Linked DNA regions of Xenopus tropicalis. The protein of the gene in region 2 purifies or fractionates together with the protein of the main gene of each other region. This does not show direct contact. Links are inferred from orthologs where the notes say so. Each region holds a gene or a part of one and is shown on either strand. Other genes may lie near its edges.

Evidence for each region.
Region 1: the proteins of copb2 (region 2) and copg1 purify together in Homo sapiens (co-immunoprecipitation; 8 studies listed by BioGRID and IntAct, counting the BioPlex papers as one, with this or other methods). This does not show direct contact. The link is inferred for Xenopus tropicalis from reciprocal best matches to the Homo sapiens genes COPB2 and COPG1.
Region 3: the proteins of copb2 (region 2) and arcn1 fractionate together in Homo sapiens (co-fractionation; 5 studies listed by BioGRID and IntAct, with this or other methods). This does not show direct contact. The link is inferred for Xenopus tropicalis from reciprocal best matches to the Homo sapiens genes COPB2 and ARCN1.
Region 4: the proteins of copb2 (region 2) and copz1 fractionate together in Homo sapiens (co-fractionation; 6 studies listed by BioGRID and IntAct, with this or other methods). This does not show direct contact. The link is inferred for Xenopus tropicalis from reciprocal best matches to the Homo sapiens genes COPB2 and COPZ1.
Region 5: the proteins of copb2 (region 2) and copg2 fractionate together in Homo sapiens (co-fractionation; 4 studies listed by BioGRID and IntAct, with this or other methods). This does not show direct contact. The link is inferred for Xenopus tropicalis from reciprocal best matches to the Homo sapiens genes COPB2 and COPG2.
Region 6: the proteins of copb2 (region 2) and cope purify together in Homo sapiens (affinity purification with mass spectrometry; 4 studies listed by BioGRID and IntAct, with this or other methods). This does not show direct contact. The link is inferred for Xenopus tropicalis from reciprocal best matches to the Homo sapiens genes COPB2 and COPE.

What each region holds. Positions count from the first base shown.
Region 1 is NC_030680.2:135,688,518-135,692,675, reverse strand, and holds the start of copg1 (coatomer subunit gamma-1), read left to right. Parts: upstream 1-1,358; 5' UTR 1,359-1,455; coding exon 1,456-1,492; intron 1,493-4,158. UniProt on the Homo sapiens protein: The coatomer is a cytosolic protein complex that binds to dilysine motifs and reversibly associates with Golgi non-clathrin-coated vesicles, which further mediate biosynthetic protein transport from the ER, via the Golgi up to the trans Golgi network.
Region 2 is NC_030681.2:128,433,805-128,437,865, reverse strand, and holds the start of copb2 (coatomer subunit beta'), read left to right. Parts: upstream 1-1,261; 5' UTR 1,262-1,283; coding exon 1,284-1,286; intron 1,287-4,061. UniProt on the Homo sapiens protein: The coatomer is a cytosolic protein complex that binds to dilysine motifs and reversibly associates with Golgi non-clathrin-coated vesicles, which further mediate biosynthetic protein transport from the ER, via the Golgi up to the trans Golgi network.
Region 3 is NC_030683.2:80,549,730-80,552,833, reverse strand, and holds part of arcn1 (coatomer subunit delta), read left to right. Parts: intron 1-26; coding exon 27-238; intron 239-377; coding exon 378-542; intron 543-1,195; coding exon 1,196-1,361; intron 1,362-1,994; coding exon 1,995-2,142; intron 2,143-2,922; coding exon 2,923-3,031; intron 3,032-3,104. UniProt on the Homo sapiens protein: Component of the coatomer, a cytosolic protein complex that binds to dilysine motifs and reversibly associates with Golgi non-clathrin-coated vesicles, which further mediate biosynthetic protein transport from the ER, via the Golgi up to the trans Golgi network.
Region 4 is NC_030678.2:145,584,085-145,588,336, reverse strand, and holds the start of copz1 (coatomer subunit zeta-1), read left to right. Parts: upstream 1-1,452; 5' UTR 1,453-1,540; coding exon 1,541-1,558; intron 1,559-4,252. UniProt on the Homo sapiens protein: The coatomer is a cytosolic protein complex that binds to dilysine motifs and reversibly associates with Golgi non-clathrin-coated vesicles, which further mediate biosynthetic protein transport from the ER, via the Golgi up to the trans Golgi network.
Region 5 is NC_030679.2:86,687,571-86,691,628, reverse strand, and holds the start of copg2 (coatomer subunit gamma-2), read right to left. Parts: upstream 2,801-4,058; 5' UTR 2,775-2,800; coding exon of another isoform or gene 2,732-2,774; intron 1,479-2,731; exon of another isoform or gene 1,263-1,478; intron 1,025-1,262; exon of another isoform or gene 1,022-1,024; 5' UTR 880-1,021; coding exon of another isoform or gene 874-879; coding exon 837-873; intron 1-836. UniProt on the Homo sapiens protein: The coatomer is a cytosolic protein complex that binds to dilysine motifs and reversibly associates with Golgi non-clathrin-coated vesicles, which further mediate biosynthetic protein transport from the ER, via the Golgi up to the trans Golgi network.
Region 6 is NC_030677.2:112,615,111-112,619,371, forward strand, and holds the start of cope (coatomer subunit epsilon), read right to left. Parts: upstream 2,801-4,261; 5' UTR 2,759-2,800; coding exon 2,660-2,758; intron 2,428-2,659; coding exon 2,365-2,427; intron 1,582-2,364; coding exon 1,481-1,581; intron 1-1,480. Other genes in the region: probable ATP-dependent RNA helicase DDX49, read left to right, coding at 2,960-3,074, 4,025-4,148. UniProt on the Homo sapiens protein: The coatomer is a cytosolic protein complex that binds to dilysine motifs and reversibly associates with Golgi non-clathrin-coated vesicles, which further mediate biosynthetic protein transport from the ER, via the Golgi up to the trans Golgi network.

The DNA.
Region 1 (4,158 bases), on a different chromosome or scaffold from region 2:
TTTTGATACCTGACAACCTCTAGCATTTTGAAAACATTCCATCCATTTGGACAAAGATCTCTCCAATTCTACCCTGAATCATTAACCTTGCAAAAAAAAAAAACTTTAAGGGCTGTAACAGACGGCAAGATTAGTCACTGCACAACAAATCTCCCTTGTCATGGGCGACTAATCTCCCCGAAAAACCATCCCACCGGCTAGAATGTAAATCGCCAGTGGAATGGCATATGTGGTGCCACAATTTCCCAAAATCGCCGAAGTTGTCTTGAGAGGAAACTTCTGCGATTTCGGGGAATCGCGGCGCCGCGTATGCCATCCCACTGGCGATTTACATTCTAGCCGGTGGGATGGCATTTCAGGGAGATTAGTTGCCCACGACAAGGGAGATTTGTCACAGGCGACTAAACTCCCCATCTGTCACAGCCTTAAAGAAGAACTAATAGCATTTTTTAATTCTACCCCTGGAGGACGTCTCCCTCCACCCTACCCAATACTGTGGGGTTGGAGGACACCTTCTTGCAGTGGCACAAAGTGACAGCCAGGGCCCCACCCTACCTGCGGTGCTAATTTTGGAACAGGTAAGGCAAATAGGGCAGTATTGAGGGGGCACAGTGTGCATTAAGGATTGCCACCTTTGACCTCAGCAAAAAAACAGACAAAATGTTGGGATGATGACATCAGAGGCAGAGCGGTGACATAAGAGGGTGCAGATGTGATATTTGGAAGTGTATTTGTACATTTTGGGGGCAGGCCTTGACATCAGAGGTGGTTAGTGGCCAGATTATTGTTTTGGTTTCACAAGGCTGAATCCCAGACAGTTAAGATCCAAATAGCCCTAAGTAAAGCTGAACTGTGCAGGTCAACAATAAACAAGTGGCAACTCTATGTGCATGTCAAAAGAGGAGAGATCCATTCCATAGGTACTACTTATAAAAATGCTTTTATTTGCCTTTATTTAAACGTCAAAATGAATAATACAATTACACAAGAATCCTGCCTCCCTGTACGAATATTGTGATTTATATTTACCTGTAAAGCATTAAAAATCTGAATACATATTAGAAAGTTGCTTAGAACTGTATTTCCTTTCAACAGGCCAAGTTTTATTTTTGGGCTTACATCGTTTTAGAAAGTTACTTGGACTTCCAAGCAACTTTCTAAGGCGATGTAAACTCAAAAATAAAAACCTATTTTGCCTGGCTCATACTTTTCCTCGAACTTCCGGTGTACATTTGTCCCTTATTGCGTGCGCTATTCACAAGCAGTTCCGGTTTCAATTCAGTCGCTTCCGCTAACAGTGCGCATGCGTTGAACAAGCATTTACCGTTCTAGGCATGCTCTGTCCGCGCCAATCGCACTGCTTGTTAGTGCGCATGCGTAGGTTACGTTGTCAGGAGTGACGTGTCCCGGTGACAGCCTGGCAGGAAGTGGCCTGGTTCTGACTGAGGGGCAGAGATGCTGAAGAAGTTCGATAAAAAGGATGAGGAGTCGGGTGAGTGATATGGGGGGTTTGCACTATTGTGTCGCGTTTTATTTATTGCCCTTATATGTCTGTTTAAATGGCGAACGCTGTCACTGGCCCACACCGGCAGCAGGGAGTGCATGGTACTCAGGCCCCTGGCTCTGTGTGGGGATACACTGGCAGCCATGCAAAAGGCAGAACCCAAGAGGGACGGGTTGTGCAGTTCAGTGGAATCCAAGCCCGTGTCTGTGACCTAGGAAGGCATCAGGTGTGTGCTACACTGGTAGAACAGCTGGACGGGGCCCTAGCGTTACTCTAATAACTCTCACAATACCTATACATCGGGTCTACACCAGGAATCCCATAAAGCCTGCTGGGATTGGTCGTTTTAATAAGAAAGGCCATATTGGATATGTCTGTTCTAGGGCATTCCTTCATGTTGTAGGAGTTACTATATATTTAATTCAGAGTATTGGGGAGCCTGTACCCAGTGTGCTAGTAACAATGTAAATTAAAGCTGGAATACTGGCCGTGCCCTTGTGTTTTAGAGCCACCACCTTATTCTGTTCTTGGCAGTCCATTACACTGCTGCCCATAAGGTGCATCTGTTTGCAAATGCAGCCCCATGCTAGTTAATGGGTATGCTTTGAATCATATTAACCCCCCGATACCAATAGGTTATAGATATAAAACTGTATGTGGGAAAAATGCCTTGTGAAAATTTGCATGCCGAATGCACACGTGCAAAATGGGCGCAGGGTGTAAACATAAAATGGCATGGCCTAATCCATTTAGAGAGAAGCAGGTATGGTTCAGCTCTGTATTATATGTTGTATTTGCCAGGGCTGAGTAATTAAGCACCTTCTTTAAAGGTGCCCATACACAGGCCGACTATAGCTGCCGATATCGGTCCCTTGGACCGATTCGGCAGCTAATCGGCCCGTGTATGGGCAGAACAGAGCTGCCTGGCCGACCAATATCTGGCCTGAAATTGGCCAGATCTCGATTGGCCAGGTTAGAAAATCCGGTCGGATCGGGGACCGCATCGGCTCGTTGATGCGGTCCCCGAACCGACTGCCCCATAAGCTCAAATGTAATCCGATTGTTGAACAATCGGATTATTTTTTTTTCAAGTCCCTTGCTACCCGATATCGCCCACCCGTAGGTGGGGATATCGGGTGAAGATCCGCTCGCTTGGTGACATCGCCAAGCGAGCGGATCTTATAGTGTATGGGCACCTTAAGGCTGAAGTTATTTTAGTGATATTCCGTCCATATGTTTGTACATCAATGTAAGAGCTCTGTGTTTGTTGCCATCAGCAACTGCACCGCAGTTTTGTATGTGCTGTTTATCATTTGTACTATTTTATTATAAATTTAAGAATGTTGCAGTTTTCCTTAAGGCTTTTTATCTCCCATCAGCATCTAGATATATTATTATTTAACCAATAAACAAAAGTCTCTTCCATTGTACATCAAAGAAGCCAGCAGGGCTGTGGAGTTGAAGTCGGAGGCAATTTTGAGTACCTGGAGTCCGCGGCAATTTTGAGTACCTGGAGTCGGCAAAAAATGAACCAACTCTGACTCCTACTAAATTTAAATGGGAATAAAAAAAAAAAAAGCAAGTTTAAATGTCCCAATTCACAAACAGTCATAATTAATTACTTCTCTGCTATAAGAATAAAGCCCAATGCAGAGCCAGTAGTTCTGTGGTTAAATGACATGTATGTCTCCTTCCTTTCATTCAATGAATGTATAAAATACATTAGCATATTAAAAACAGTCGGAGTCGGAAGTATCAGAAACTGAGGAGTCGGAGTCGGAGAATTTATCTACCGACTCCACAGCCCTGGAAGCCAGTACTTGTATGATCTAGGTCCTATAATGACGCCTGTGGATACCTTACTGAAACTACCCTGATATTGTCATCAGTAATTAATGGGCCGCATACTGCCAAGTAGGCCTCTGGGTGGTGAGCCATGACAGCAAATAGAATGGGGCTTATTGCCGCTTATCTGCATCAGCCACACCCCTTTATGCCAAAACCTCACCGATAGTATGAACAAACCTTGCCCACTCCATGTTAGACTCACATCTTCATGTTGGGTACCCTTCTACCATAGGGCCCCTGATAGGATTACCTCTCATGGTGGCCCTGAGTAGACTTAGTATAATTTACTTTTCAATTGGTCTTCATTATCTATGTGTTTGTATGTTTTTTGTTTTTTTTTTCTCTTTCCAGCCTACAACTAAAAAAATGTGGTGTGGTAGTCACTTAACTTTGACACTGTAACCAGATACACTGTGCAGTTTTATTGCTCTTTTTTCTTTTTATAGTGTCTAGTATTTATTTCAAGTTTGATTTTAAAACATAACTTAATTTTGTGTGCAGGTCAGACTGGGGAAGTACAGGCCTCCTCTGCTTCAGAAGTGTTCCTCTCTTAAAACCAGAGGCGCACTCAGAAGTAGTGTACGGAGTGGAAAGACACTGGTACAGGTTGGGTGCGGGTCCTACAATGGCAGTATTTTATGACTTGGGGTCAGGGTGGAGCTTTTCCTGACCTGCTCATTATTAATGCATGCTGTGGGCTAGGATTAAAACCAACCTACTAATCAACCCAAGTGTAGAAAGCCTGAAATCACTACATGATTTGCAATACATTATTTGCATTTATTTAAATAATGTGCCTATGTTAT
Region 2 (4,061 bases):
TTAAATTGATTTCCTTTTCCTCTGTAATAATAAAACAGCAGCAAGTATTTGATACCAACTAAGACATAATTAATCCTTATTGGATAAAAAAAAAAATCCTATTGTGTCTAATGTGTTATCAAGTTTTTAGTAGACTAAGGGCTCTGGCACACGGGGAGATTAGTCGCCCGCGACAAATCTCCCTTGTCACGGGCGACTAATCTCCCCAAACTACCATCCCACCGGCAAACATGTAAGTCGCCGGTGGGATGGTACACGCTGCGCAGGCGATTTCGGCAAATTGCCGAAGTTGCCTCGTGTGGCATTTTCGGCGATTTGCCGAAATCGCGCTGCCGCGTGTGCCATCCCACCGGCGACTTACATGTTCGCCGGTGGGATGGCAACTGATGGCAACACGGGGAGATTAGTCGCCCGCGAACAGGGAGATTTGTTGCGGGCGACTAATCTCCCCGTGTGCCAGAGCCCAAATTACGGAAAGACCCCTTATCTGGAAAACCCCAGGTCCCAGCATTCTGGATAATGGGTCCTATACCTGTAATATAAAGGGCTCAATGGAGTCCCAGAGAAGTCAACGTTGAAATAAAAATCTCTGGGGAATTTAGTGATTTGATGCTGGCTGATCTGACAGTTAGCGCCCTTAGCACCACTGGCGGGGGGTCTGCGGTCCTCACAGGTGTTCCTTTTTGAGGCAGTCCCTAAACAAATATACATAACGCACTGTAAAGAAACACACAAGGGCTTCATTCCTAACAAGGCAAAGCCGAGACAACGTATACTTCTGAATCTATTATTCTTCCTTCGGCAGGGGCATTAAACCCAATAGCTAATTGGTTGCGACAAGTTAATGCGCCCTGTACTAATCAATAAATAGCGCCACGGATCCACACTGCAACGATGTATTTTATTCACACGTATTGGAAGCGCTTTTGTACTTCCGGGTTTTTCGGCGCTTAATATGCTTTGAACAACTATATTTTCTCATAACGCCCCCTGCCGTACGAAATATAAATTATGTTTTATCACATCTCCCCCTGCCGTCCGAAGAATAAATGAACTCGTTTTTGTTTCAAGCGACACATCTTCCAAACCAGCCCATGGAGCTACTCTCCGAAACCCGCCACGTCACACGCATTCCACTTTACTTCCGCCGCAAGATGGCCGACTTACTTTACTACTGAAGCCTTCTGCAGCCGCCGGAAGTACATGGCTAGCTGGTGTCGCGATAATTCCTTAGGTTCCCGGAAGCTCCACGTCAGTCAGACAGGGACCGAAGAACCGGGGAAATGGTGAGTAAGGCTGTTGAAGGATTAGTATTATAGGTTTATTAAACAACTGGGGCGACGGTAATCATAAATGCATGGTTGTCAGAAGTTGGAAATAAGAAGTTCTGGGATGCTCTGATTGTGTGTCAGTGCGCCGCCCCAGTGTTATAGACTAGTGAGCCCCAAAAGGCATGTCTTGAGCTTGTAACTAATATAACAACCCGACTGTTACTTTCAGCTGCCCTGTTGTATGATTTCCCCTTATAGACATGCTACGTAAGGGCTGCGTTACTGTCTCGATGGTTATAACAATAATTACTACTTAATGTAGGTCCTGTTTCCACATAGTGGCATCTGGAGTGCTAGATCTGGTACTAGATCGGGTACTAGATCTGGTGTTATAAGCCCTCATATGTCATGGCCGGGCACCCTTCCGTATGTGGCCTCTCTGCTGGCCAACTCACAACTCTCTGTAGCCCCATTGTAATTACTATTGGAAGTGGAGTTTAAAGTGAATCTCCTCCAAAAACCTCTCTCTTTATATTCTTTGCACTTCTGTCTAAGGGTGAAGACACACTAGTACGGTAGCAGCTACTTTTTCATGGCTACTAAACTCCAGAAAATCCCCTGCCATGGACAATACTGAGAATTGCCTCTGCTAAAACACACATAGACAGTTATCGGTAAATGATCAGTACTGTCTATTTTAGTAGCTGTGACAAGTAGCTGCAACTAGTAGCTTCGTGTGTCACCCTAACTGATCACAGAACCTGGTAGAACCAGAAAGAAACTTGTGCAGCAGTGTTTCAAGAGTCAGACCCAGAACAGAAAGGGATTTTAAAAAAAAACAGCTCTTTGTGATTGCAGTGACATTTACAGATGTTTTAAACAATTGAAATTGTATCATTTTGTACATATATTGGATCGTTCTTAGAATTACACTTTTTCTCATTGTGCAAAGAAAGTTTTTTTTTGGGTAGGGATTTCCGTTTTAACAATTAAATTACAGTTATGGCAGTAGATTTTGGGAAAAATGTATGCACGCCCAACTTGTTAAAACATTAGCCCATATTTGTAGTAATACAGCCATTCAGTCCTCAAGGCCTCTGCCCCCATTTATAGCCGGGAATGCTGGGCTGTTAGGTAAAGTGGGCAATTGCTGTGCTGGTCTCTGGCTATTGTCGGCAGGGTATTTTCATACATCTGTATTGGAATCCGTGACAGCAGATAAAAGGCATTCTAACTGCTTTTTCTCCTGAGCATCGCTCCAGTTAATAATGTCCATATGCCATCTGCTTAATTATCCCTTAAAGGTGTAGTTTACCGTTAAGTTATGTTATAGTATGCCATAGAATGGCTTATTCCTAGCAATCTTTTAGTTGGTCGTCTTTTTTTTGTATAGGTTTTAAATATTTGTCACCTTCTACCTCTTTCCAGCTTTCAGAAGTGGGGTCACTGACCCCTGCAGCCTAAAAATGACTGCTTTTGAAGCTATAATTCTGTTGTTATTACTACTTTTTATTTTTTTATGTTTAGGCCTCTCTCATTGATCTTAGTCTTTCATTTACTCCACTTACTATCTGGTTGCTAGGGTAAATTGGACCCTAGCAACCAGGTAGCTGCTGAAATTCCTAACTGGGGGGATGCTAGACAAAACCCTAAATATAAAATATCAATACATGACTGCATATTGTTTACACCCTGTTGGAGTTTGGAGAAAGCTGAATATAATACAGGATAAATATGAATAAACCCATACCTGTATAAATGTACAGTTTGTTACCTTGCGCCTTAAATGGTATTTTGTTTTTGTTTGTTTTTTTTAAATTGTATGTATGCTGACTTGTAGATGAACAGGCTAGTGCAGTATGTATATGGATTTGAAAGGGATATTTTACACCAGAGTTTCACAAACTGTGAGGCCAGGGTCACTTGTAAGTCCTGTGAGTGGGCTCTTTGCTCCCATATGAGGCATCAGATGAATGAATTGCCAAACGTTTTGTTCTGTAATTAGACATGGAATTCCATTTGTTGTTGTTCTTACACATTTTTTTGTGTTCTGTAAAAATGCATATAACAGTATAACTTGTATGTGCATGTAAAGCTAACTATAATTAATTGGACATTGACTATGATAGGTAACAAAGGCTTGGCTAAAAAAGCACTTAAAGGAACAGTAACACTAAAAAATGAAAGAGCTTTAAATTAATAAAAATATAATGCACTGTTGCCCTGCACTGGTAAAACTGGTGTGTTTGCTACAGTAACACTACTATAATTTATATAATAAGTTGCTGTGTAGCCACGGGGGCAGCCATTCAAGCTGGAAAAAAGGAGAAAAGGCACAGGTTACATAGCAGATAACAGATAAGCTCTGTAGAATACAATAGTGTTTTATCTGTTATCTGCTATGTGCCTGTGCCTTTTCTCCTTTGAATGGCTGCCCCCATGGCTACACAGCAGCTTATTTATATAAATTATAGTAGACTTTCTGAAGTAAACACACAACTTTTACCAGTGCAGGGCAGCAGCACTTTATATTTTAGTTACTTTTATACACTTTCATTTTTTGGTGTTACTGTTCCTTTAAATAACTGAGTGGGTGCCAATGTGTTAGCCATGCCTCACTGACTCCAAACGCTTAAAGGAACTGTTCACCTTTGTGTTAACTTTTAGTATGATGTAGAGAGTAATATTCTAAGACAATTTGCTATTAGCGTTTTTTTTAATTATTTCACTTTTTGTTGAGCAGCTCTCCTGTTTGGAATTGCAGCAGGTATCTGGTTGATATGGACATAT
Region 3 (3,104 bases), on a different chromosome or scaffold from region 2:
CACCTTTCTTTCTGCACTCTTTACAGACACAGGAAAGAGAAGCCAAGGCAGAGATGCGACGCAAAGCCAAGGAGCTTCAGCAGGCTAGAAGGGATGCAGAGCGGCAGGGCAAGAAGGCTCCTGGATTTGGAGGGTTTGGAAGTTCGGGTGGTTCCTCCATGTCTAACAATGCAGTTTCGCTGATTACAGAGACCATTATAGAACCAGAGAAAACAAAGAGTGCCCCTGTTCCATCACGGTATACAAGCAAAATACAATTGTAAAGTGTTATTGCAAACCAAATGAACTGTATAATATTTAAAATGATGGAATGGGAATTGTAGAATTATGGCTTTAAAAAGGTTTTTATGTGCAACATATTGTCTTGCCCCCTGTAGGCCATCTGGTTCTGGCAAAGCCCTGAAACTTGGAGCTAAAGGGAAGGAGGTGGATAACTTTGTGGACAAATTAAAATCTGAAGGAGAAACTATTGTCACCCCTTCATCTGGCAAGAGGCAGTCAGAAGTGGCCAAGGTGCTTGCTCCTCCCGTGAACATGGAGAGGTCAGTGTTGGGAATTTATGGGGACAGGAAGTCTGATATTTTGTAATATCAGTTGTGGTGAAAGAGGTTTTATCCAGTATTTTCTTTGTATATATAAAAACAGTTATTTATGCTCAGTATTTTGCATTTCTTATAGAAATTAGATTGTGTGATTTAAGTGGGAAGAATTCAATATTTGTTTTCTCAACATTTGAAGAAAGGCTAGCAAAGGCAGAACAATCAAAACTTCACAAATTATTACAAAAGGTGCGATTTATTTGATGACCGTATCCCTTTAGCATTCACATTTGTTGAGAGGGGATGAAATGCACCATTTTAGAGAAATCCATTTATTGATTAAAAGCTCTATTCTCTGTTATAAACTTCTATGCTGTATGTATACAGTTTGCAACAGCTTTTTAGATTTTTATGTTCGAGCTGCCTGTAGCAAACCAACATTTTGGCAGCTTATTATTTAACATGTTATAAATTGTTGGTAACCACTCTCATGTTAAAGGACTTACCACAATAGCAAACTTAGTAAAACTTTAGTATTTTGTGCTAGAATCCCTACCTCTGCTTTGCATCTCCCAACAGGGTCTTTGATTTTTCTTTTGGTGAGCAGATTTGTGCTGTTTTTGACTTCTGAGTATATTCTTTATTTTCATCTACAGTGTTCACTTGAGGGTTGAAGAAAAAATTTCCCTTACTTGCAGCCGGGATGGAGGACTTCAGAATATGGAGGTTCACGGGCTGATTATGCTCAGAGTGACAGATGATAAGTTTGGCAGGATCCGTGTGCACATTGAAAATGAAGATAAAAAAGGAGTACAACTGCAGGTTAGGAAGCATCTGTATTTGAATTACTGAAATAAACTGTCTTTCATGGTTCACAAATGGATTAAAGGAAAAGTCAATCGAAAATATATTTTTTTGCCTGATAAAAGAAAAAATTGTAAGCAACTTTGCAATATACATTCATTACTTTACCTTTTCTATTATTTTCCCTGGTGGCTCTGGCATTTGAAACAATGTAACACATGCCAGCAGACTGACAGACCTGTCTTGCTGGAGCAGACTGACCTTTGCAACATTGTTTAAAAAGTAAATGCTGCTTTCAATAGCAATTTAATTTATAAAATTTTTCAATTAAAAAAAAACTTTCACATTGGAAAGTTGCCTGGAATTATGTTTTCTTTAATTAGGCAAAAAAATTTTTTGAGGGTTTTCAAGTCCTTTAATATGAGAATTGAATGATCAAACAAGTATACTAAACATTTGTATAACATGCTTAGTACACTGCTTTACAGTTGTACTGAATAGTGCTTGTTTGTAAATTAAATGATTGGTTGCATGGCTGAAAAACTAAGAGCTGAAGCTCCAGTTTTAAATGGTCAAAACTTTTTGTAGACAGTCTAAGGTTATGGATGGCTGCTACATATTGTTTTGTATAACTTCGCTTTCTTGTCTCAGACTCATCCCAATGTGGACAAAAAACTTTTCACTTCGGATTCGGTAATTGGGCTGAAAAACCCAGAAAAATCCTTCCCTCTGAATAGTGACGTGGGTGTCTTGAAGTGGAGACTGCAGACCACAGATGAGTCTTTTATTCCCCTCACCAGTAAGTACTGTGTTTTAACATTCAGTGTGCTATTATGCAGGACAGTATTAACTGCAGATCCTTTCATGTACACTTTTACGTGGTTTAAGGTTGCAGACAGGACATCCAAATTCAAACTATAGTCAATTGTTCTAATACACACTCAGTAATAGGAATAATTAGCTGTACACAGCATGTAAGATACAAAAAGTATATGTTGGTAAAGTGAAAAAAACATGCATTTATTTCTCATAATATAAACTTCAGCAGTGCAGGCTAAAGGAAAAAAAATAAAAAAATAAAATGCTTTAAAATGCTGTTTTTTATACCAACCGTACAACACCTGGCGAAGATAAAAACAATAATCCATGCCTTCAAATTTCTATGCAGCAGCTCCCCATCTGCTCATTAGGCAAATTTTTGAGTGTAAGTGACACCGCAAATGCTAAGGGCAAGGGCACACAGTATGTATAGATCCGCTTCTCTCGGTCCTGCTACAGTACAGTAGCTGCCTAATGTGGGCACGCAGAGCTCATCGAAGGTCGGCCTGGAAAACAACTGCTTTCACATTTATCAGGCCCACATCTGACATTTTTGGCAAACTAAATATTTTCAAACTATTTTTTTATTTTGCTCAGCCTATCTAGTTACCCAGTTTTATTTTTACACTGAACTGTTCCTTTAAAGAACAGACTGTACAGTTGCCATCTAGCAAATGCATTGAATGTTTGTGAAATTAATTAAATACAGTTGCTAACAAAACTTTTTAATATGTGTTCAAATGTCTTTTTCTTACCTTAGTTAACTGTTGGCCATCAGAAAGTGGGAATGGCTGTGATGTTAACATAGAATATGAACTCCAGGAAGAAAGGCTGGAACTGAATGATGTTGTCATTACCATTCCTCTACCGTAAGTGATTCTAACAAGGCACAATATAAAGCAATTTAGATAGTAAATATGGGTTTAGCAATTGATTCTCATT
Region 4 (4,252 bases), on a different chromosome or scaffold from region 2:
TTAGAGGGGCCATCCACAGTTTACTATGTAGATTCACCCCCCCCCCCTTTTTTGTCTTTCTTGCTTGATATCGACCAGGCAGGATCACTCAAGAGCTCCATATATGGGCCAATGAACAATTAAGTGTATTAATGATAACGTTATCTATTGTATTGAATGCCTGTGTGGCCTTCAGTAAATAGGGAAAAGGAATAGGTAGTTATTAGAATGAAAAAACTAACATACAGAAATATTAGTAAAGGTTTATAAACTAGAGTTTCCAAATCTCGAACTCAAATATCTAAATAGGGATTCAATATTGGAAAATGATTAATGTTAAAATAGGGGGCTGTGAGATATTATAAGAATAACCAGGGCTGCCATTGCTATGTGGGGAAAGTTACGCAAATTGCCTAACGTACATATAAAGTTATGGCAAAACTAAATCAATTTACGTAACTTAAACCTGCCTAGAAACTTGTGTAACTTGCATAAAAACTTGCGTACAAGCAAAAGACAATGCAGAGAAGGGAAAACTCCAGTAACCACCAATGAATGGTAAATTCTACCTCCCCCAATGAACTGACTTATTAGCACATTAATTATTCATTTTAACCATTTATATGAACTGCTTATTATAGAGTAATATCTCTGTTTTTATTTGGGATCTATTTACTGAATTCTATGAGTATTCTTTACATTAACTTTTCAGCAGTGGAATGACTGGTTATTGGGCCCCACAGCAACATCATTGGCCCCCTACGCTTATGCAAGTTACTTTGAGAAAACTTACATTTAAACTGCACTGACCCCTAATGAAAAGATTCACTTATTAGCACATTATTATTTTTACTGCTTTAAAAAAGTAAAGTAAGTAGTTTTCTCCAGAAAAGGTGGAAACCCTAACCCCTTTGCATCACCCACGTCCCCATACATATCTCTCCTTACATCCTAATTATGCTTATGTGTTTTCCTTTTTGTTTCCTCTTGTTGTTTGGGTACAAAATCCTGTATATAAGAACCAACATTGCTTCTTTGTAATCAGCTTTGGTGAAGGAACTCTTTGCTGAGATTATCATCTTAGGCAGCCAATACCCACAACACATCTACGCCACTTTTGTTATGCTTCATGTCAGAAGTTTCACACTACAACTTTTTCAACTGGCTAACATAGTGCAGAACACTGGATTGGAACCAAGAGCACTAAGCACAGTTTTTACGCAAAGTCAACCGACCTATCAATTCATTCCAATGTCCGAGCTGTAGCGTAACAGCAGGGTGGAGCTTTAAACTATTAGTGACACAGTAATTTACATCTATTTCCTCCGCCATGGTAACCATTTGCCCAATAAAAGCAGCTTCCGCTTCCAACGTAGACGCATTCGTGTTCCGCCTGTCAGTGACTGAAACCATCAACCAATTAAAAAGCTTTAGACGCTATTAGCCACACCCTTCTTCTTCCTGTTCCAATCAGACTGAGCGAGGAGGCGCGGCTAAAGTTTTGATTGGCAGATGAATTAGCCAACGCGCGCTTTGCTCCACGTCAGCAGGATAGAGAAAGATGGATGCTATACTGTTGGTGAGTGAGGCCGCGGAAATAGCTTTGATTTTAGTGTGAGGGGGCCGGTAAAACTTTATTTTTCTATGGTGGTTGCAATCGTTTGTTTAGCTGGCCAGGCTGCTGTGTAGGGACAGGGGACGAGTGGTTAGGGTCTGTCAGTGGCAGGCTTTGGGCTGTGACTCCCAGCATACGTTCAAACGCTAGGGTAGCTATTCATTTTGGGACCTGTAGGAGATATCGTGCAGCAAAGTAGTTACTTTTTGTCATTCAGGGATGTTGCACCTGAGCCTTACGCCATGGTGAGCCTGTGCCAGGGACCCCCTATTGAATGGCAGGACTGGGCAAGGGCTGCTGGCACAGAAATAATAAAAAATATCTGGTAGTGACATTTTCTGAATATAGTGTGCCAAACTCTATAGTGCTATACCCCTTCTGATATTCCTTGTGTGGGTGTGTGTTTCCTTCCTAATCTGCCTGATTTTTATGTAGAAATAGTAGTAGTAGTAATAGTAAATAGTAGTAGTAATAGTAGTAGTAGTAATAGTAGTAATAGTAAATAGTAGTAGTAGTAATAGTAGTAGTAGTAGATGATTGATTGGGCTTTTAAGGAAAAAGAAAGGTGTCTGGGCTATTCTGAAATCTCTTTGGGTTAGACTGGACAGGCCTGGCGCTTATGCATGTCAGATTGTTGCTATTAGTCTATTTGCAGTTTAACAACAGCAGTTGGGCTATGGCTGATGGTAGAAGAAATATAGAACAGTTTTAACACAATACAATATCTGTATCAGGCATTTAAACTCTTAACAATTTTTTTTTGCAGGATTTTGTTTCCCATGGGGTATTGCATATCCCAGATATAGTTTTATAGAATCTCTCTTTACAGGTTGTGATTAAAGGGTATTGTATTGGGTAAAAACAAGAAAGTTCTAGTGCATTATGCACCTCAAAATCTAGAATAAATGTGCTGAGAAGTTTTTGGCCGATTTATTGAAAATGTATCCAAAACCCTACTAGTCCTACCCATTTTTTCCACTTCCCACTGCCTTCTTTCCCAGACCTGATAGGGAACTGAAATCGTCATTTGCGTGTGTGATTGGCTATGCCCCTCCTACTGTGCTTCTGGCAGGGACCATTAGGACATACCCCCCCCCCCCCCACCACCACTTGAAACATGGACAGGCAGATCCATAGGAAGCTTTAATAAAAAGGCCATTTTGTAAAGCTAATGATTATTTTTATCTCAGAGTGAAACCTGAAACCAGCACCATATATTTCATTTATGCTATATGTCTACTTTAAACTTAGTGTTTGCCGTGTTTATCTACTTTTGAGTGACTGTTCCCCCAAATATTGACGCATGGCATGTAAGTTTCTTGAAAGAAATTCATTAGGAAGCTTTAATAAAAAGGCCATTTTTAAAGCTAATGATTATTTTTAGCCCAGAGTGAAACCAGCACCATATATTTCATTTATGATATATGTCTACTTTAAACTTAGTCTTTGCTGTGTTTATCTACTTTTGAATGACTGTTCCCCCAAATATTGACACATGGCATGTTAGTTTCTTGAAAGAGAATCATTGTATAAAGAGGTTGTTTGGGAATTGAGAAGAACAGGTAACATCTGCTAGCAGAGTCAATGACACCTTGATAGGGACTAACTCAGTAAAGAATTCATACATGCCTGAATCTATGCTCTGTTTTTATTACTATTCCATGTTTCTTCCTTTTATATATTCCCTTTAACAAGAATATCATACATTGCTGTCTTTGAACAGTAGCATAAATTATATTCTCAGTCAGCACCCTAGGCATAAACTGAACAGAACAACTAAAAACCAAATAGTTTAATACTGACAGTATCAGTTACCACTCACAAATTGGAAAGTGAACGTGTCCATCAACCACAAATAAAAGGTAGAACCAGAACAGGCATTAAGTGCTAACGCTTTCCAAACTCCAGGTATAGCACAGTAAATTGGCTCCTTTGTGTTTGGACAAACATGCAAATAATGACTTTCCTATGGTAAGTGGTAAACCATTAATTGAATTCAGGGTCATCGGTGTTTCCCAAGGGGCATCCTCGTCTGGTGGTTGAACTATAAGATGACTGAAAAGCAGGGACAACGTGCTAAATATAGTTTGTTATTGAAATATAAAATGGAATATATTGCATTTATCTAACTAAAAGCATCATGCGCATTTCTAATACAGAGAGGTAGTTTAACAGGTTTCCCCAGAAGAACAGTAGATAGTGGGTATCCAACCCCAGCTCTGATTCACACAGGGAACATTATTTGCAGTTCCCTCTCAGGTCTGTCTAGCTGCTGATTGAATGGCATCCTACAATGCAAGTGCTGAGTGCCACATAATCTCCTTCTCAACCTGGGAAAGCAGCAGCTCAATTCGGTGAATGGTGCTAGCAAGTTTTTTACATTTACGTAACTTTTTCAGCAACACCAAAGGAAACTTAAAGGTACATACATGTATTTAGAAGTGTATAATGCAATGAAAAAATGCTTCTTCTTGACACCATTTGTCCCCTTTAAGTATAATGTGAGAGGTCTGCTGGATTTCAAGCCTTTCCCAAAAAATATTGTCTACCTGGATTTAGAATTTTCAGTGTCAATTTTAACCTGGAGGATAAGCCCCAGCAAGGATTTTCCTTCTGTTACTTTTATTACAATTGAATAATCAGAGTGAATTACTAATT
Region 5 (4,058 bases), on a different chromosome or scaffold from region 2:
TGCCAGGATCTCAGTATAAGTATCCTCCCCTTAATTACATCATCAAATAGTGACAAACTACATTAACCATCAGCCCCAGTGGAACAGCCCATAATAAATAAAGACCAATTATCACACATCGCTATTAACACACCAAAATGACTGTCTGGTCTCTTGGCATTGTGTGCCTCTTGTTCTTAGAATCTAGCCCTGTGAGTAGCAATACAACCTCCATGAGCATTCTGCTGTGTAGTTCTTCACTGTTTGATGTTGTAGGGTGCTTATACTGGGACCCTGGCTGATAACGTAATCAGGGGGTGGGTTCTTGAGCATTTAAAACTTGCACTTGACAAAGGGGTTATCCCTGAAACATGTGTATGTATCTTCAGCCCTGGTACTAACACAGTGGTGCAATGGTTACTCAGTAAAAGTTTTTCTGTGATCCTAATCCATACATGCAGTAGGGCAACTAGGAAAGGGATGCTGGCCCTGTTTGAGGCCAAAATTCAATGGGGGGGGGGATTAAGTTCCCTCCTTGCCCCTATTTGCGGATGTCCATGGAAGAACTGCACTTTAAATTGGATACATAAGGACAAATGAATTAGGCATATACATTTATAGTTAGAGAAAAGCAACCCACTTGTGTCTGTAATGGCTAATACAGCACCGTGTGATTTAACCAGGTGGCACAAGCCACAATGAAAGACTGCAAGCCCTCCCTCACTGGCCAGCACAGACGTGCCATTTGCTGAGGCGGCTTTCCATCTATAGGAAAGTCAGAGGCTTTAAGGCCTGTTTATTAATTGGACTGTTTCTGCATATACCGATATGAACAAAAGGTAAAATATATCAGTTACCGGATTCCTCGTCCTTCTTGTCAAATTTCTTGATCATTTTCATAGATGGGCACGTTAGAGGCCAATCTCAGTGGCAGAGTTTCACCCCTCTCACCCCCCCCGGCTGTGCGTGCTGCGTGAGCAAGCCGGCTCCCCTCCTTCTCAGGGGCAGTGAGTGGTTGTCAGGCAACACAGGAAGAGGCGTGCTGCTGTGAGAAACAAGTGACAGTAAGAGTTCATAAAGCAACAGCGGCCACAAAAACACATGCCTACAGGGAACCTTATGGGTAGAGTCCTGCTCAGTGCTTTTGATTCTGCTTGCGCAGACTGGCCTTTTTTCATCGCCCCTTGCAGCATGGAGCTCCAGCTCAGTCAGCCAACAGTATCTGAGATCGCTGCTGCTAGTAGGTCTCCTGCGAGAAAAGCAGCATCCCCCCCCTTATGTACCTTTGTGTGAATGAAGCCCAAATAGGGCTGAAATGAATTTAGGCTGGGACCCCTTCCCCCTTTAGCCATATGGTCATTCGGGCAGGGCCTGCTCCCTCCCCCGGCCAGCTCCAGGTAGAACAATAGAAGGGTGAGCAGTGGAGGGAAAGAGAGGAGGGGGCTAGGGGAGGGGACTTAGGCAGAGCAAGGTATGTAATGGGATGTGTTTGTTAAGGATACATTCTTACTTGTTTCTTGTCCACAAGCCACCTAGGATGTTAATGACTTGTGCCTAAGACACACCAACTTGGCAAATTGCATTAGAATAGCATTAAACAATATACCAGAAGTTTATTGCAAGATCAACTTACCCATTAACAGTATAGAGATAGAATATAATGTCTGATATATTACACAATTCACAACTGTATGCCCTTTTTGGAAAGATTATTAAATCTTTCCAAAATGAAACATGCCACAAATAAATGGAACTTTTACACTTTCAGTGTGCAACTGCTCGTTCTGTCAGTAATCTTCTAAAGATTCTTGAGATGAGATATTTGCAGGGGAAGGGGGTGGAGAACAGCAGAACAATCATGGAGGTTGTACTGCTACTTGCAGAGGGTGTTTCTAAGAACAAGAGGCACACACTGCCAGGATCTCAGTATAAGTATCCTCCCCTTAATTACATCATCAAATAGTGACAAACTGCATTAACCATCAGCCCCAGTGGAACAGCCCATAATAAATAAAGACCAATTATCACACATCGCTATTAACACACCAAAATGACTGTCCGGTCTCTTGGCATTGTGTGCCTCTTGTTCTTAGAATCTACCCCTGCAAGTAGCAATACAACCTCCATGAGCATTCTGCTGTGTAGTTCTTCACTGTTTGATGTTGTAGGGTGCTTATACTGGGACCCTGGCTGATAATGTAATCAGGGGGTGGGTTCTTGAGCATTTAAAACTTGCACTTGACAAAGGGGTTATCCCTGAAACATGTGTATGTATCTCCAGCCCTGGTACTAGCACAGTGGTGCAATGGTTACTCAGTAAAAGTATTTCTGTGATCCTAATCCATACATGCAGTAGGGCAACTAGGAAAGGGATGCTGGCCCTGTTTGAGGCCAAAATTCAATGGGGGGGGGGGATTAAGTTCCCTCCTTGCCCCTATTTGCAGATGTCCATGGAAGAACTGCACTTTAAATTGGATACATAAGGACAAATGAATTAGGCATATACATTTATAGTTAGAGAAAAGCAACCCACTTGTGTCTGTTATGGCTAATACAGCACCGTGTGATTTAACCAGGTGGCACAAGCCACAATGAAAGACTGCAAGCCCTCCCTCACTGGCCAGCACAGACATGCCATTTGCTGAGGCGGCTTTCCATCTATAGGAAAATCAGAGGCTTTAAGGCCTGTTTACTAATTGGACTGTTTCTGCATACACCGATATGAACAAAAGGTAAAATATATCACTGTTACCGGATTCCTCGTCCTTCTTGTCAAATTTCTTGATCATTTTCATAGATGGGCACGTTAGAGGCCAATCTCAGTGGCAGAGTTTCACCCCTCTCACCCCCCCGGCTGTGCGTGCTGCGTGAGCAAGCCGGCTCCCCTCCTTCTCAGGGGCAGTGAGTGGTTGTCAGGCAACACAGGAAGAGGCGTGCTGCTGTGAGAAACAAGTGACAGTAAGAGTTCATAAAGCAACAGCGGCCACAAAAACACATGCCTACAGGGAACCTTATGGGTAGAGTCCTGCTCAGTGCTTTTGATTCTGCTTGCGCAGACTGGCCTTTTTTCATCGCCCCTTGCAGCAGGGAGCTCCAGCTCAGTCAGCCAACAGTATCTGAGATCGCTGCTGCTAGTGGGTCTCCTGCGAGAAAAGCAGCATCCCCCCCTTATGTACCTTTACAACAGATGCTTGCTGAGGGTCAGCCAGTGCCACTCAATAGTTATGTCATGTGTCTTTTGTACAGTCTGCTTTAGTGTCACTCCTGGTGTAGTCCCTGCTCTGACAGGCACAGGAGTACCTGAAGTTTGTTTAAAAGTTGCCATTGTATGGCAACCTACGCCTTTAGGTTTGCATTAGTCTGATGCAGGGCGGTATTATGTGGAAACTTTATAGTTATTGCCTGCAGCAAAGGATTTCATAAAAAGTTATGTTCGGGGAGACTAGAAGGGGGCCAACTGCTAGGACATTTACCAATTGGCTCCAAGCATTTTTGGCAGTATTTTCTCTGCAAAATTACCTCAGTTGGCATCTCAATTTTTTAGGCACTTTGACATTATAAATAAATCTTATAAAAGCTACAGGGTTTTTCTTGGGCCACGGTCCTAGTGGGCCCCAGCGGCCCAAACCCGACCCTTGCCAGTGCTCCCCAGGGTCGGACTGGGCCGCCGGGACACCGGGAAAAATCCCGGTGGGCCCCGGCCCTAGTGGGCCCCAGCGGCCCAGTCCGACCTTTGCCGGCGCTCCCCGCTACTGACTGTTCCTCCCCGACGCGTTCAATTTATACGCGCTCGGGGAGGACGTCAGGCGGGGGCCCTTCGGGGGGGTTAGGGGGGCCCTTGGGGGGGTTAGGGGACGCGGCAGGGGCACCTGCAGGGCCCCTGGGGCGGGAGCCCCGGTGGGCCCTGCACCCCCCAGTCCGACCCTGGTGCTCCCCCTGCCTGACTGTTCCTCCCTGCGTTAAATGTATGCGTGCTTGGGGAGGACTTTGTGTGGGGGCCCCTGCAGGGTGGGGGGGTTAGGGGACGTGGCCGACAGGGGCACCTGCAGGGCCCCTGGGCGGGAGCCCCGGTGGACCCT
Region 6 (4,261 bases), on a different chromosome or scaffold from region 2:
CAAAATGTTAGGCACCCCCAAGTGACTTTAATTGCTTACCTTGTACCCCGGGCTGGTGCCCCTGTTAGGAGAAAACAGCACCAGCCCGGGGTACCTGTAGCGAGCGGTTCCTCCTTCCTTTTGCCGGGACCCCACGACCGGCGCATGCGCAGTAGATTAAAAATTCAACTTCTCTGTTAAAGTTCAGCTTTTTCACTCGACTGCTCATGCACAAACACGCGAAGCAGGAAGCGCTGCAGCTACCCCGGGCTGGTGCTGTTCTCCCCGAACAGGGGCACCAGCCCGGGGTAAAAGGTAGGCGATTTAAGTCACTTGGGGGTGCCTAACATTTTGGCACCCCCAAGTGACTTTGCCTTTCCTTGTCCTTTAAGCTTGGTCAGATATAATACCCAGATTTCTCATTTACTTACTACACTGATAAATCTAATAGTCAGTTATACAGCACAACCCATTAGGGGAGCCTACGGTAGTGTATGAAAGTTAAAAGCAGATGTATCAACACTTGCAGAAGGCACATACTGAAAAAAGTGTCCTCCACTCAAAAAAATAATCATTAAGAAGAAAAGTCACATAACTTATCCTGATGCATCAAGCTAAGCTGATGTAATGTTTCTTCTAATTAGTAAATTAAGTTTATATGAGCCTGGCCTATGATATAGATTTTTGTTCTTGCCCTCTACAAGTTTGGTATATGCCCTCCCCAATCTGAAGACTCTGAAAAGCCAACCTGTTTACTATTTGTGGTTGGATCTCCCCTAAAAGTTTTAGGGAATGATTTAATAAAATTTTTTTTTTTTCTGGACTTGAAAGTAGTATAAACTCGACATGGTTTAAATTCTAATTAAACTCGAATTAAACTTGATCATTGTTGTATTTATAAAATGGGAGTTATTTTCGACAAACTCAAATTTATCAGGGAAAATTTCTGAAAAACTAGAATTTTTCGAGAAACAATATCAGAAAAATCGAGCACTGGCAAAAACCCATTCGTAAATCTCAACAGAAGTAAAAAAAAAAAAAACAAAAATCAACTGTTTCTTAAAATGTCTTAGTAAATGTGCCCCCTAAAGTTAATATATTTATAGGGAGTGCAATGGTTCTAGACCTCATTTCTTGAAACCCAAATGATCACATCTGGTAACCGTTTTAGTTGTATAGGGTCAAGCGAGTTTCTGGTAGTAGCCATATGCCAGTTGTTCTGGTGAGAGCCACAGAGTGGGACAATATAACGGAGAGGCATAGGGCCAGATTTATCAAAATGGGAGTTCAAAGATTTATACATAAAAATTCACCCATGTTCTTTTCATTCCTATGGGATTTTTAGAAGCATATTTATCAAAAGGTGAGTTCTAACTTTAGCCCATTGATAAATATGCTTCTAAAAATCCCATAGGAATGAATAAAAAGTGAATTTTTCTGTAGTGAGCTCTAATCTCAAATTTTGATAAATCTGCCCCCTGGAGATGTAGAATGCACATACCTGCGACTCTCATTGGACAGATACTCTGCAAACATTCGGACAGCCTGTAATTCAGGGTTGGTATTTGGCCGAATTTCATCAAGAACAACCCCATACTTGCGCTGCATGTGGAAAATAAAAGGTCATAAGACCAGGAAGAAATAAGAAGCTTCTTTTACTTAGTTATAAGTGCAGGAGGAAATAAAAAGCTTATTTTACTTATAGGTATAAGTGCAGGAGGAAATAAAAAGCTTATTTTACTTATAGGTATAAGTGCAGGAGGAAATAAAAAGCTTCTTTTACTTATAGGTATACGTGCAGGAGGAAATAAAAAGCCTTTTTTACTTATAGGTATAAGTGCAGGAGGAAATAAAAAGCTTCTTTTACTTATAGGTATACGTGCAGGAGGAAATAAAAAGCCTTTTTTACTTATAGGTATAAGTGCAGGAGGAAACAGAAAGCTTTTTTTACTTATAGGTATAAGTGCAGGAGGAAATAAAAAGCTTCTTTTACTTATAGGTATAAGTGCAGGAGGAAATAAAAAGCTTCTTTTACTTATAGGTATAAGTGCAGGAGGAAATAAAAAGCTTCTTTTACTTATAGGTATAAGTGCAGGAGGAAACAGAAAGCTTTTTTTACTTATAGGTATAAGTGCAGGAGGAAATAAAAAGCTTTTTTTACTTATAGGTATAAGTGCAGGAGGAAATAAAAAGCTTCTTTTACTTATAGGTATAAGTGCAGGAGGAAATAAAAAGCTTCTTTTACTTATAGGTATAAGTGCAGGAGGAAATAAAAAGCTTCTTTTACTTATAGGTATACGTGCAGGAGGAAAAAAGGCTACATTCACAATACTAATGACAGCTGGGTGAGAATAATGTATGATTATAATACAGAGTCTCTCTCACCTGGGCTATATATGCTCTGAACAGGAAAACGTCTCTCTCCACCTCCTTCTCTGGACTTGAAGGCTGTAAAATAAAATATTCCCACGTTACTATTTGATTATCCATCTTACCTCAGATTGTTAGCATGAGAAAAATAATAGATGTTATTGTGCCTGATTCAGTCATGCATGCTGTCGTTATATTTGTTCAATACGTATGCCCAATTTAAAAAGATTGCTGCTATGTCCACTATCCATATCCCTTCAGCCATAACTCCACGCCTCTCTGACCCAGTTTGCTGTAATCGTTAAATCACCTTTACTCTTTGCGCCTCATTAATGCACTGCTGGTAACTTCCAATATAGAAAGAATTCTTCACATCAAATAACTCGTCCACCTCTCCCTGTGCAGCCATTTCTGTATATCCCGGACACGTCAGCCGGCCAGCTTCCACAACTTCCGCCTTCCTTTACCGACTTCCGCCTCTCAGCTAAAGGCATGGCGGGAGATGTAGTACCAAAGGTCAGTTCCCGTAAGGACCAATAGAAGGGCGAGTTGTGTGACGCATTAGTTTGTGCGCCGGAATGTGCTGCTAGTGGCTATCACGCGTGTCAAGATGGAAGGGTTTTCGAGGCTTGGGTTGTCTTCCTGGCTTATCGATCAATGTAGCCAACTGGGCATATTGAAACCTAGTCCTGTACAGGAGAATTGCATCCCGCCCATCCTGGAAGGTGAGATTAGTGAATGCGAATATGATTCTTCGCGATTAAGGGGGCAGATTATCTGAGTTGTCCAGGGTGAGCAAGTCATCTACATAAGTGTTACAAATCATCTGAAAAACCAGTGATCAAAAGGTAAATGGCATAACTATATGTTAAAGGAAAGCAGCGCTAAATTTGCGGGAACCCTAACATTTAGGAGTAAGATTTAATTTAAATGTATTAATCTTCTTTTTTGTCACTGTCCCACTGGTCCCCTTTTACCTTCTGGCCCCCCGGCAGTCTCTTGAAGCGTCAGTTTCCTCCATAGTTACATTCCTATTTATAAATATATTGTGCACAGTTTTGCTTGTACCTAAGTTCGATTCATAATAATTGCATTCATCTAAAGGACATGTAAACCCCACACACAAAAATTTAATCAGTGAACAGCCTCTTTGAAATCTTTCAATACCTGCCACTCTGCTTGTCCAGAGGTTAATAGTAAGGCTGCAACATCCCCTTAATCACTTAGATTTCCTTCTCCTCCTGTAACCCACTCGCCCCCCCCCCCTTGGGAATTTGCTTTGATTCCTGCCTTGCCAGACATGCTCAGTTGTACTAAACTCAGATTACAAAATACGCCCTCCAGTCTAGCAGCCAGTGAAGAGATGGCATTGCTGGTTCCCATAGAAACTCAGCTCTAGCTGTCTGCTTCAATTTTTTCTCCTAACTTTCTCTCCTGAGCTCAGCTCAAACAAAGCAGAACGTTTATCAGACAGTTCTGCCTCTGTGAGCCTGTATTATTGATGAAATGTATGCTGAATAAGGGTCTGCGTGTGTATGCTGTTTGCAGATTTAAATGTATCTGATTATGTATCAGAGGAAAAAAGCCACCTGGTAAAAGGTCAACTATCCATTAACATCTGCACAGAAAATGTATTGTATTTTGTTGAGAACTCATGAAGTTGATGTCCTGTTAGGCCGAGACTGCATGGGATGTGCAAAGACTGGCAGTGGAAAAACAGCTGCCTTTGTGCTGCCTATTCTCCAAAAACTCTCTGAGGATCCCTTTGGAATATTTTGCCTGGTTCTGACACCAACTCGGTGAGTACAGATGCTATTATAATAGTTATTGTATAATTTTCTCATTAAAGAGAAAAAAAGTAATATTGTGGTAGAGCAAAAATTATGGTCTTTCCCTACAATGAACAACAGAT